Oryctolagus cuniculus: one gene and its partners. The protein of the gene in region 3 interacts with the protein of the main gene of each other region in a pairwise test. Links are inferred from orthologs where the notes say so. Each region holds a gene or a part of one and is shown on either strand. Other genes may lie near its edges. The genes, in order: ADGRG7, BNIP3L and LDLRAD1.

Evidence for each region.
Region 1: the proteins of LDLRAD1 (region 3) and ADGRG7 interact in binary tests that used the Homo sapiens proteins (3 or more experiments, as listed by UniProt). The two-hybrid records come from large-scale screens. The link is inferred for Oryctolagus cuniculus from reciprocal best matches to the Homo sapiens genes LDLRAD1 and ADGRG7.
Region 2: the proteins of LDLRAD1 (region 3) and BNIP3L interact in binary tests that used the Homo sapiens proteins (3 or more experiments, as listed by UniProt). The two-hybrid records come from large-scale screens. The link is inferred for Oryctolagus cuniculus from reciprocal best matches to the Homo sapiens genes LDLRAD1 and BNIP3L.

What each region holds. Positions count from the first base shown.
Region 1 is NC_091435.1:55,234,303-55,237,952, forward strand, and holds part of ADGRG7 (adhesion G-protein coupled receptor G7), read left to right. Parts: intron 1-738; coding exon 739-1,085; intron 1,086-2,136; coding exon 2,137-2,233; intron 2,234-3,650. UniProt on the Homo sapiens protein: Orphan receptor.
Region 2 is NC_091433.1:47,850,289-47,853,938, forward strand, and holds part of BNIP3L (BCL2/adenovirus E1B 19 kDa protein-interacting protein 3-like), read right to left. Parts: intron 2,869-3,650; exon of another isoform or gene 2,720-2,868; intron 2,001-2,719; coding exon 1,817-2,000; intron 1-1,816.
Region 3 is NC_091438.1:118,979,132-118,982,881, reverse strand, and holds the start of LDLRAD1 (low-density lipoprotein receptor class A domain-containing protein 1), read right to left. Parts: upstream 2,232-3,750; 5' UTR 308-2,231; coding exon 287-307; intron 1-286.

The DNA of each region.
Region 1 (3,650 bases), on a different chromosome or scaffold from region 3:
GGGATGGCTGGGATGTTTCCCTCTCCCCATTCGCCTCACAGCATTTCCATGGGATTTCTGCAGTGCTCAGAAATTCCAGAAGCTCCAAGGGGAAGTCGTGTGTGTGTGTGTAGGGGTTGGGGGAGAAGACTTTTACAGGCCCCAGGCACTTTTGCCTTTCGGGGATACTTCCTCCATAAAAAATTAAAAATTGTATTTTATAACTGCATTGGTATAAAGATGAATACACTAATATTCTTTGACCTAAAAGTATATTTACTTATTTATTTAGTCTTTTAGAATTAAAAGAAGTTAAAACATTGTATCGGCCCTGAAAAAACCATGGCCCTAAGTACTGCTATGTTTAATAGATAAGCTGATCCTGGTTGCCAGGCTTTCTGTTGCATTCTATTAGTTAAATCATGGTATAGGCCATGCATGAGACAGAGCCACCAGGGCATAAATCCAGTATTTAGAGTTCACTGCAGTCATCTTTGTAGATTCACTGCTACTTTTGATCAGAATACAGTTCTAAGAAAGGACACTTCAACTACTTTACCTCACTAATTTGTAGAAAGGAGATGAGGGGAAAATGTTTTCCTGGTATAATTGGGAAGGTAGGTTTCCCAGCTGGCCCACTGGGCTATAAGCTGCTTTTATGTTGGATAATACTATTCCTTGTTCCCTCACAACTTCATTAGGGTTTATTTTTTCAGTTGTTTTGTTTTCATTTAACTATTTAGATTTATTTATTTTCAGGAAAGTCAGAAAAACTTCAATAACTTGGGTGTTGGTCAGTCTGTGCACATCAATGCTGATTTTCAACCTCCTTTTTGTGTTTGGAATTGAAAACTCCAATAAGAACTTGCAGACAAGTGACAGTGGCACCGATGATATTGACTTTGATAATAACGAAATACCCACAACAGACACTATTGGCATCCCGAATCCCACATGTACGGCGATTGCTATCTTACTGCATTACTTCCTCTTGGTGACATTTGCCTGGAATGGACTCAGTGCTACACAGCTCTATTTCCTCCTAATTAGGACCATGAAGCCCCTTCCTCGACATTTCATTCTGTTCATCTCATTAATTGGATGGGGTAAGTATTTGCATCTTTACTTAGGAATTTAATTTTGTTGAAATAATTTAAACAAACACCTAATGAAAGCCTAAAAGTACAAGGCCAAGCATGAGGGAAGATAGACACTATGGCAATAACTAAGAATGCTTTATGTCTAGTAACTTATACTAAAGCGAAAGATGAACTGGTGATCAAGGAAGATATACTACATACAGGGCAGCAAACTTAAATCTTTTTTCCATCTAGTTTTATTTGAGATTTAAGCAACAAGTATTAACTTCCCACATACTTTAAAGAAATGTTACAAGACAGACTATCCAGGCCAGCACTGTGGTGTAGCAGATAAAGCTGCCACCCACAGTGCCGGCATCCTATATGGACGCTGGTTGGAGACCTGGCTGCTCCACTTCCAATCCAGTTCTCAGCTATGGCCTGGGAAAGCAGTAGAAGATGGCCCAAGTCCTTGGGCCTCTGCACCTGGGTTGGAGACCCAGAAGAAGCTCCTGGCTCCTGGCTTCGGATCGGCCGAGCTCCGGCCATGGTGACCATTTAAAGAGTTAAGCAGTGGATGGAAGATCTCTCTTTTTGCTTCTGCTTCTGCCTCTGCCTCTGCCTCTGCCTCTTGGTAACACTGCTTTCCAAATGAATCAATAAATCTAAAAACAAGACTACCAGAATAACTCTTCAAGAAAATTATTTCAAAAATTAATTGTGTTCCAGCAAAGGAAGAATTATATGAGTAATATCCACATTTAAATTTATTTAAGTGAAAGAAGAACTAAGCCATATAAAAATAAAAGGTTTCTTTGGGAAAAAATGGAAATTGTGGTAAGAGTTACACAGAAATCAGAAAATATGTACAGCAAACAATAAAAGGAAAAGGAAAACATTTAGAAGATAAATTACATCTACTTTGACCTATGTCTGTAGGATCATGTAGTATATCATCCATGGTGGAAAGAACAATGCCTCCTGAAAAGGGTCAGGTGCATAATTCATTAATGGTCTTTTGTAATTAATCCTATTCTTGGATAAATTATTGATTCTGTTCCTCTCTTTTATCACACAGGTGTCCCGGCGATAGTAGTGGCCATAACTGTGGGAATTATCTATTCTCAGAATAAGAAAGACTCACAATGGGAGTTAGACTACCGGCAAGAGGAAATGTGAGTTTATATTTTTGAAAATATCAATTTATTTGAGATAAGAATATAACTATTCAGGCCGGCGCCGTGGCTCACTAGGCTAATCCTCCGCCTTGTGGAGCCGGCACACCCAGTTCTAGTCCCGGTCGGGGCACCGGATTCTGTTCCGGTTGCCCCTCTTCCAGGCCAGCTCTTTGCTGTGGCCAGGGAGTGCAGTAGAGGATGGCCCAAGTGCTTGGGTCCTGCACCCCATGGGAGACCAGGATAAGCACCTGGCTCCTGCCATCGGATCAGCAGCGCACCGGCAGTGGCCATTGGAGGGTGAACCAACGGCAAAGGAAGACCTTTCTCTCTGTCTCTCTCTCACACTGTCCACTCTGCCTGTCAAAAAATAAAATAAAAGAAAAGAAAAGAATATAACTATTCAGTGATGTTGATTCCAAATGTTATATGCATCTCACTTTTGACTGTCACATTTAGAGGTGGGCATTACAAAATCTCAAAGAACACATCATTTTTAATGCAGTGACATGGAAATTTCCTAGATAAGTCATTTGTAAAGCAAATAATCAACTAAACTTCTAAATCTGAACTTTATTTTCTTAAATTTTCTCCTTTCATTGTCTGAAATATCTGAAAACATAATAGGTATGATCCCTAATTACTCATTTTGTATAATCCTTAGTTTTCTCATTTAAAAAGCAGGAATGTCAATAACAGTAAAACCTATTCTGGGATTACTATAAGAAGTCCAGCAAGAATGAAAACATTTAATAATTTGAAAAGCACTATGCATTTGTCACTTCTATATACTGATTCTACATTGATGGGATTATAACGAAAACTTACCACACAAACTAAATTGTTCCTGTGACTCCATTGTAAATAACTAATCATCAATAACAAAAGTATTTGGATGGTGTGTGCTTTTGATGTGGGAGGAAGAGAAGAAAACTGGACTGAACTGGTACTCAACGCTTTACATGTTTTTTTGCTGCCAGTCAGCAACTGCTCCTTAAACTAAACTACCTTCTCATTTTATAAATCCAACCATTCTTATCCCCAGATTCTACCTTAAGTCCCAAACCAACCCAGATGAAAACCAAACACTTGGAAGTGTTCAATAACCTCCAAAGGTAGGCTGTAGCATCAGAGGACTTACCACTCCCATGACTGACCATGCCTAGCTGTAGGCCATGTGGCTGATGGCCTGGCTGGATTTCATACTCCTAGACACTACTTTCTCTCCCATATGGGCACCTGTTCCAGTTCTGGCTGCACTACTTCCAATCCAGCTCCCTGCTAATGCACCCGGGAAAGCAGTAGAAGATGGCCCAAGAGCCTGGGCCCATTATCCATGTGGGAGACCCAGATGCTGTTCCTGGTTCCTGGCTTAGGCTTGGCCCAGCCCCAGCCATTGCTATAACTCTCTCTGTAA
Region 2 (3,650 bases), on a different chromosome or scaffold from region 3:
GCTCAACGGCAGCACCACGTGAACAGGTGTTAATGGACACATCTACCAATGGCAAGGCTCGTGCACCTGAAGGTGTAATAAGAGCCTTATAAACAGGCCATGGCAAGCAGAAAACTTCAGAAAGCCAAACACCCTCTCAGCAAGTTCCATAAAGCAAATCTAACACAAAGCTTCACTCTCAAAGACACACTAGTGCTTGGTTACTGGAATCAATGGCAAGCTGTTCAGAAAAGGACCATCTGCTCCGGTTCTGCTTATGACAAGAGCCAGGTAGCAGAGAAAGAAGTCAGGGATGGCACGGGGGTGGTGCGGTGCCATCGGCCAACAAACCTTCCTTGGTAATGTTAACAGTGCAGTGTCATGGTACCAAAAATTTTTAAATGTCATTTAAAATACCTAGTCTTTCTGAAAAGAAGAAAAGATTTTGCTGAAAAATGACTTTCATTCTTGTGCATACATCTGTCTATACCCTTAACTCTTTCACCATAAGCAGTGGAATTAGTTTCCCTCTTGAGTCAAATATAGAAAAATGAGGCCTAAAATAAAGCTTTGGCATCTGAGGAAACAGAATGGCCTTCAAGAACACCACCTTTATAGACCATGGTTGGTGCTCCCACTGTGAATACTGCTACAGCATGACTCAACTTTACTGTGTGTCTACTACATACCAGCACTATCATCAAAGGTATGAAGAGGAAGCATGAACCCTGCCTTCCGAGGCCTTACCATCCATAAGGGAAAACAGATCCAGAGGTCACTGTAATTCAAGGAAGAATGCGATTTGGGAAAAGAAAGCAAGAGAGATCAATTCTATAATTTAATAGCCAATGAATTTTAAACTGATAAATAGGGGCCAGCGTTGTGGCACAGCAAGTAAAGCCACTGCCGGCAACACCAGCATCCCACATGGGTGCCAGTTCTTAGCCTAGCTGCTCCATTTCCAATCCAGCTTATGTCCTGGGAAAGCAGTAGAAAATGTCCTGAGTTCTTGGGCCCTGCACCCATGCGAGAGACCAAGAGGCAGCTCCTGGCTCTGGTCCAGCCCTGGTGTAGCTTTGGTCTGTCATGTGCAGTATGGTGAACTCAGCCCTAGCTGTTGTGGCCATTTGGGGAGTAAACCAGTGGATGAAGATCTCTCTCTCTCTATCTCTGTTAACTGTGTCTTTCGAATACATTTTAAAAAATAAACCTTTTGGCTGGCACTGCGGCTCACTAGGCTAATCCTCCGCCTTGCGGCGCCGGCACACCCGGTTCTAGTCCTGGTCGGGGCGCCGGGTTCTGTCCCGGTTGCCCCTCTTCCAGGCCAGCTCTCTGCTGTGGCCAGGGAGTGCAGTGGAGGATGGCCCAAGTGCTTGGGCCCTGCACCCCATGGGAGACCAGGAGAAGCACCTGGCTCCTGCCATCGGATCAGCGCGGTGCGCCGGCCGCAGCGCGCCAGCCGCGGCGGCCATTGGAGGGTGAACCAACGGCAAAAGGAAGACCTTTCTCTCTGTCTCTCTCTCTCACTGTCCACTCTGCCTGTCAAAACAAACAAACAAACAAACAAACAAAAAACAACCCTTTTAAAAAATAATAATAAATGATGAATATCCAAAAATCACAAAATCTGATTAAGAAAAACAAGTTAATCTAGGGGACACAACAGTGGGCATGAAATTTCCTGCTAGTCAGCTGTCTGGTTTAAACACACAGGCTATAATCAGTCAGGAGGCGAATTTTGTCAAGTGAGGACTTCAAGCTAACTGAGTTTCTTCTCATCCGAGTTAGCTTTATACCTTCTGTTCTTGAGTTCCATGGAAACCTGGCTCTCGCTCACCTGTCGCAGTGGGAGCTGCCTCTGGAGCTGCTCTGTCCCGATTCATGCTGCGCATCCAACAGAATCTTCTCCATGTCTCCATTGTGGATGGAGGACGAGGAAGGCACGTGCTCCAGGCCCCCGTTTTTCCCATTGCCATTATCATTGCCATTGCTGCTGTTCATTGGTAGCTCCACCCAGGAACCTGTGGGACAAGTCAGATAACTGAAGTGAACCACAGCGGAACCGAAATCTGTCATGTGCACACAGATGTGAATATGGTGAACTCAGATAAAAAGTCTGACTCCTTCCAACCAAAGGCAAAAGTATTCCGAAGGAAATAAACAAGAAGCAATTAAGTCTAAAATCCATATTGTTTTATTCTTGAAGTAGTAGCTCATGTAGTCAGAATGAAACTGGAAGTCTAAAACTATTATCTTAGAAAACACATCTTTCAGCCAATTTTCTCTCTGGTTAAAGCTTAGTTCATATATAGTCAACACTTTACTGAACATCTTGAGGTTGCTTTTTCTAAAAAAAAAAAAAAATAGTTATTTTATTACCAGACAGGCTACTTACCTTTATTGGGATAGTTTTTTACACACATTCTATAGTTAACCTCAGATATCTGTACCTGCTCTACAAAATAAACACAACTTAGAAAAAACAAAGTTCAGCCAAATAGGCTAACAAATACATCCTAATTAGCACAAATTAGAAGTTCCAGAGAAGGAACCTAAATACAATCACAAAAATGCCAATTTGTGTACAAATTTATCTGGAGCATGAAATTAATGCAGCTGGTCCTTAAAATCAGGTGGTGATGCTAAAAATTCTAGGAAAAACTTTAGCTCTAGCCCACAAATTAGCTTCTTCCTTTCCTTTAGCCTTCACCCTTTCTCCTTTTTTACACACTTAACATACCTTGTAAACTTATCTCTTCTTTCTCTCCCACGGGTTCCTACTTTGTAGAGTTTTCATTAAGCCTTGTCGGTTTGCAGGTGACACGATCGTACTTCAACTTAGGCTGACACAAAAGTTTTCTTGGGTGAGCATGCAAAGGGGGCGGAGCCACAGAAAAAGGGGATGTGGCACTGGTGAGGTGCATAGCTTAAAAATAACTATTGGCCCAGTGAGTTTGCTGAACACATTAGGGTGCTTTAATTAATTAATTTATTTTTTTGACAGGCAGAGTGGACAGTGAGAGAGAGAGAGAGACAGAGAGAAAGGTCTTCCTTTACCATTGGTTCACCCTCCAATAAGAATTTATTTACTTATTTGAGAGGTAGAGTTATAGACAGAGAGAGGGGGAGACAGAGAAAAAGGTCTTCCATTTGGTTCACTCCTTAAATGGACACAACGGTTGGAGCTGTGCAGAACTGTAGCCAGGAGCTTCTGGGTCCCCCATGCAGGTGCAGGGGTCCAAGCACTTGGGCCATCTACTGCTTTCCCAGGCCATAAGCAGAAAGCTGGATCAGAAGAGGAACAGCCAGGACACGAACTGCTGGTCATATGGGATGCTAGTGCCACAAGTGGAGGCTTAGCCTACTCCTAATTTCTTTTAAAATTATTTTTATTTCTTATTGTAAAACAGATAAAGAAAGTAAGTTCCCATGTGCTGGTTCACTCCCCTAAATGCTTGCCATGCCTGGAACTAGACCTAGCAGAAGCCAGAGGACAGGAACTCAACCTAGGCCCCCACATGAGTGGCAGGGACTAAACCAATTGAGCCATCACTGCTGCCGGCCACACGTCAGAGGGAAGCTGGAGTTGAGAACCAGACTGAACACCAAACCCAGGTACTCTAAAATGGGACATAGCCAAATGGCTGCCCGTGCTTTTTTTAGTAAGAACT
Region 3 (3,750 bases):
CCCCTCAAACCTGCCCAGGCAGCTCCCCAGCGAGGCTTTCCCTGATCTCCTAACATCATCCACTCCCCTGGCCCCTGTGCACCTGCACCCCGGCTTCCTCCCAGTTCATCATTGAACTGTCCAGTTGTGTCACGTGTGGGGCCTGATACCTGGGAGTGAGCCCCTGGGGCAGGGTGGGAGCTGACTCACCTCAGTGGCTGGGGCAGGTGCAGTATTAACCTGGCCCCTTTCCTGCCCTCACCTGAGTTTGCTTCCTGCATCAGGAGCTACGCAGGGCCGCACTTACCTGGGGGAAGACCTTGTTCATGTTTCCAGCTCTCAGCGTCCAGTCTCCAGGGATACAGGGCAGGTTCCCTCCCTTGTCACCAGGGCAGCCTGGAGGAGGGGCCTCGCCCTGGCCACGCCCTCCCAGGCAGAGGAAAGGAGAGCAGGGTCCTGATGCGCCAGGCCTCTCCCCACTCTGCAGTCCAAGAGCAACACGCCAAGGCTGCAATCCTCATTCCCCTCTTACAGACCGCAAGCAGAGCCGAGATTCGGAGAGGGAGACTGGCCCAAGTCACACAGCAGGTGAGAGGGGTGAGACTTAAGCCCAGCGATTTTGCAGGGCCTGCGGTGAGACTGGGAGCCGGCAGCCCTCAGCGTGTGAAGAGGCAGCCAGTCATGGCACAGGTCACTGTGTCAGTGGCCAATAAGAAGGGTCATTTAATTAAATAGATAATTCAGGGCTGGTGCTTTGGCATAGTAGGTAAAGTGGTCGCCTGTGGCATCCCACATGGGCACCGGTTTGAGTCCTGGCTGCTCCACTTCCAGTCCAGCTCTCTGCTATGGCCTGGGAAAGCAGCAGAGGATGACCCAAGTCCTAGGGCTCCTGTACCCACATGGGAGACCCGGAGGAGGCTCCTGGCTTCGGATCACCACAGCTCTGGCTGTGGGGGACATTTGGGGAGTGAACCAGCGGATGGACAGTCTCTCTCTCTCTCACACACACATACTCTGCCTTTCAAGTAAATAAATAAATCTTTTAAAAAGAATATGCATTTCCCACTAAATTATAAAGCAACTGTAATTTTTCATCATTTTCTTTAAAAATGTGGCAGGGGCTTTTCCCATTTGTGGCTGAGATGAAGCTCAACCCTTCTGTGGCTGAAGGAGGCATTGCAATGCAGGAAGGCCGAGTCTCCCCCGTCCGGGAGAGCTGAGACAGAAGCTCAAGGTGTGCTCCACGCCCGTGTGAAAGGAGGCGCAGTGCGAGAGGTGCGAGGACACCGTGAGGGCCGGCAGATGGGCAGCATGGCCCGGGGCTACTGGAAAAAATCTGCCATCCACACTGAACAGGTGCGGCGGGAGAGGCCACAGGCACACCTGTCCTTGTGGCAGTCATCCAACAGGGTGGTTCCTGCTGGCTTGAAACTGGACAAAGACCACAAAAAAGATCCTTTTTTTTTCTTTCTACCCCCTCCGACCTCTGAGTGTCACAGGTCCCAGGGAGCACAGTGTCCTCAGGAGTGGTCAGAGCCCAGCGCTGGACGTCAAACAGGTCCCCAGGTGCAGCCTCTCAGGAACCCGGCCCAGGAGGAAGCCACCCCTCCCCTGCCCTGCGGCACAGAGCCACCAGGAGGCAGCCTCTTTTGTTCTTACCTGGACAGGTGGCAGAGGTGGCCCTGGCGGAATCACCGGGATGGCGCTGGCAGTGGGCGGCCTCTCAGCTTGAAAGCACGCTCTTTGCACAGCACGTAAAAGGATCCTGGAGCGCAAAGCCAGGTCTCACCGAGTCTGACAGGGGAAGGGCAAATGTGAGGAAGCAGCACTCAGGAAGATGCCAGAGTAAAGTAATCTTAGAGACAACTTTCACTTAAAACTGCTAAAACAAAACAAGCACACGAAACGTGGCGGGGCAGGCGTTGGCCTAGTGGTTAGGACACCTGCGTCCCGTCTCAGAGTACCTGGTCTTGAGTCCTAGCTCCACTCCCTTCCAGCTTCCCACTAGTGCCCACCTTGGGAGGCAGCAGGTGGAGGTGGCTCAAGTGCTTAGGTCCTGCCACCCACGTGGGAGACTGGGATGGAGTTCCTGGCTCTTGGTTTCAGCTCAGTCCAGTTTCAGCTGTTACAGGCATTTGGGGAATGAATCAGCAGATGGGAGATCTCTCCTGTCTGTCTCTATGTGTCTCTTTGCCTCTCAAATAAATAAATAAAATTAAAATATGGCAAAGTGCATTCTAGTTTTCTCTGAGACAGTGCTGGGGGTGGGGATGAGGCAGGGGCAGGTTGTTGGCTCTAGTGATCCCTTACTAAAGATTTATTTCGGCCGGCGCCGTGGCTAATCCTCCACCTAGCGGCGCCGGCACACCAGGTTCTAGTCCTGGTCGGGGTGCCGGATTCTGTCCCGGTTGCCCCTCTTCCAGGCCTGCTCTCTGCTGTGGCCCAAGAGTGCAGTGGAGGATGGCCCAAGTCCTAGGGCCCTGCACCCCATGGGAGACCAGGATAAGTACCTGGCTCCTGCCATTGAATCAGCGCAGTGCGCCGCCCGCAGCGCGCCAGCCACAGCGGCCATTGGAGGGTGAACCAACGGCAAAGGAAGACCTTTCTCTCTGTCTCTCTCTCTCACTGTCCACTCTGCCTGTCAAAAATAAAAAAAATTAAAATTAAAAAAAAGATTTATTTTGCTTATTTGAAAGGCAGAGTGACAGAGAAAGAGAGAAAGAGAGAGAGAGTGAGAGAGAGAGAGAGCTTTTCCCTCTGCCAGTTCACTCCCCAAATAGCCACCATGGCTGGGTGGGCCAGGACAAAGCCAGGAGCCAGGAGCTTTTTCCAGGTCTCCTAAGTGAGTGCAGGGGCCCAAATACTTGGGCCATCTTCTGCTGTTTTCCCAGGTGCATCAGCAGGGAGCTGGACTGGAAATGGAGCAGCCAGGACTGGGAACTGCTGTTGGTGCTGCAATGGGATGCCGGCATTGCAGGCGGTGGCCTAACCTGCTGCACCACAGCAGCAGCCTCCCCCCAGCGACCCATCTGTCTACCCACTTGCAGTCTCCCCAGCAGCCTAGCTCCCTGCTAGGAAGACCATCGTCCCAGAAGCGTTTCACTCTGGACCAGAGCCCAGACCAAGGGAGAAGGGGAGGTGTCCTCCTCCAGAAACCAGCCCAGGGGTTCTAGGCTGGGGTCCCCTGGAAGCCTGCCTCTGATGCCCCTAGATTGCTCACCTATGGCCAGCCGTTTCTTTTGCACTGGGAAATAAAACGCCCACTCCCTGGGAACAAGGGTGAGGAGGGCAGACATAGGGGCAGCCCTCAGGAAGCGGGGAGCTACAGAGAAACAGCTGAGCCCCGCACCAGGAAAACGGGGTTTGGTCAGGCCCTGCAGCCGGCTCTCACGTGGGCAAGCAACCCCCCTTCCCGGGCCTCAGTGCCTGCTTCCACTCCCTAGGAGACAGACTAGACGAAGGGTGCGTTTCAACTTAGGGCTCCCAGGAGTCAGACCCTAGGACAGGACTTGAGGGCAAGTGGATTTCACTGGGGCGGAAGCATGCTTAAAACCTTCCAACACCTCTCTGCTGGACTCAGAATCCAGCGCAGGTCTAGTAAAGCCCATTATTACCTGACGCATCTCGCCCCATCTATTACGGTGCTTTTGTAGGCTGTAGCTCAGCTAACTGAACCATGCGCAGTCCTGGACTCGCTGGCCTCAGTCTTTATGCATCCCGTCTCCACTGCCCCAACGCTGCTCCCTACACCCCGCTTGCCTCCGCCTCCAG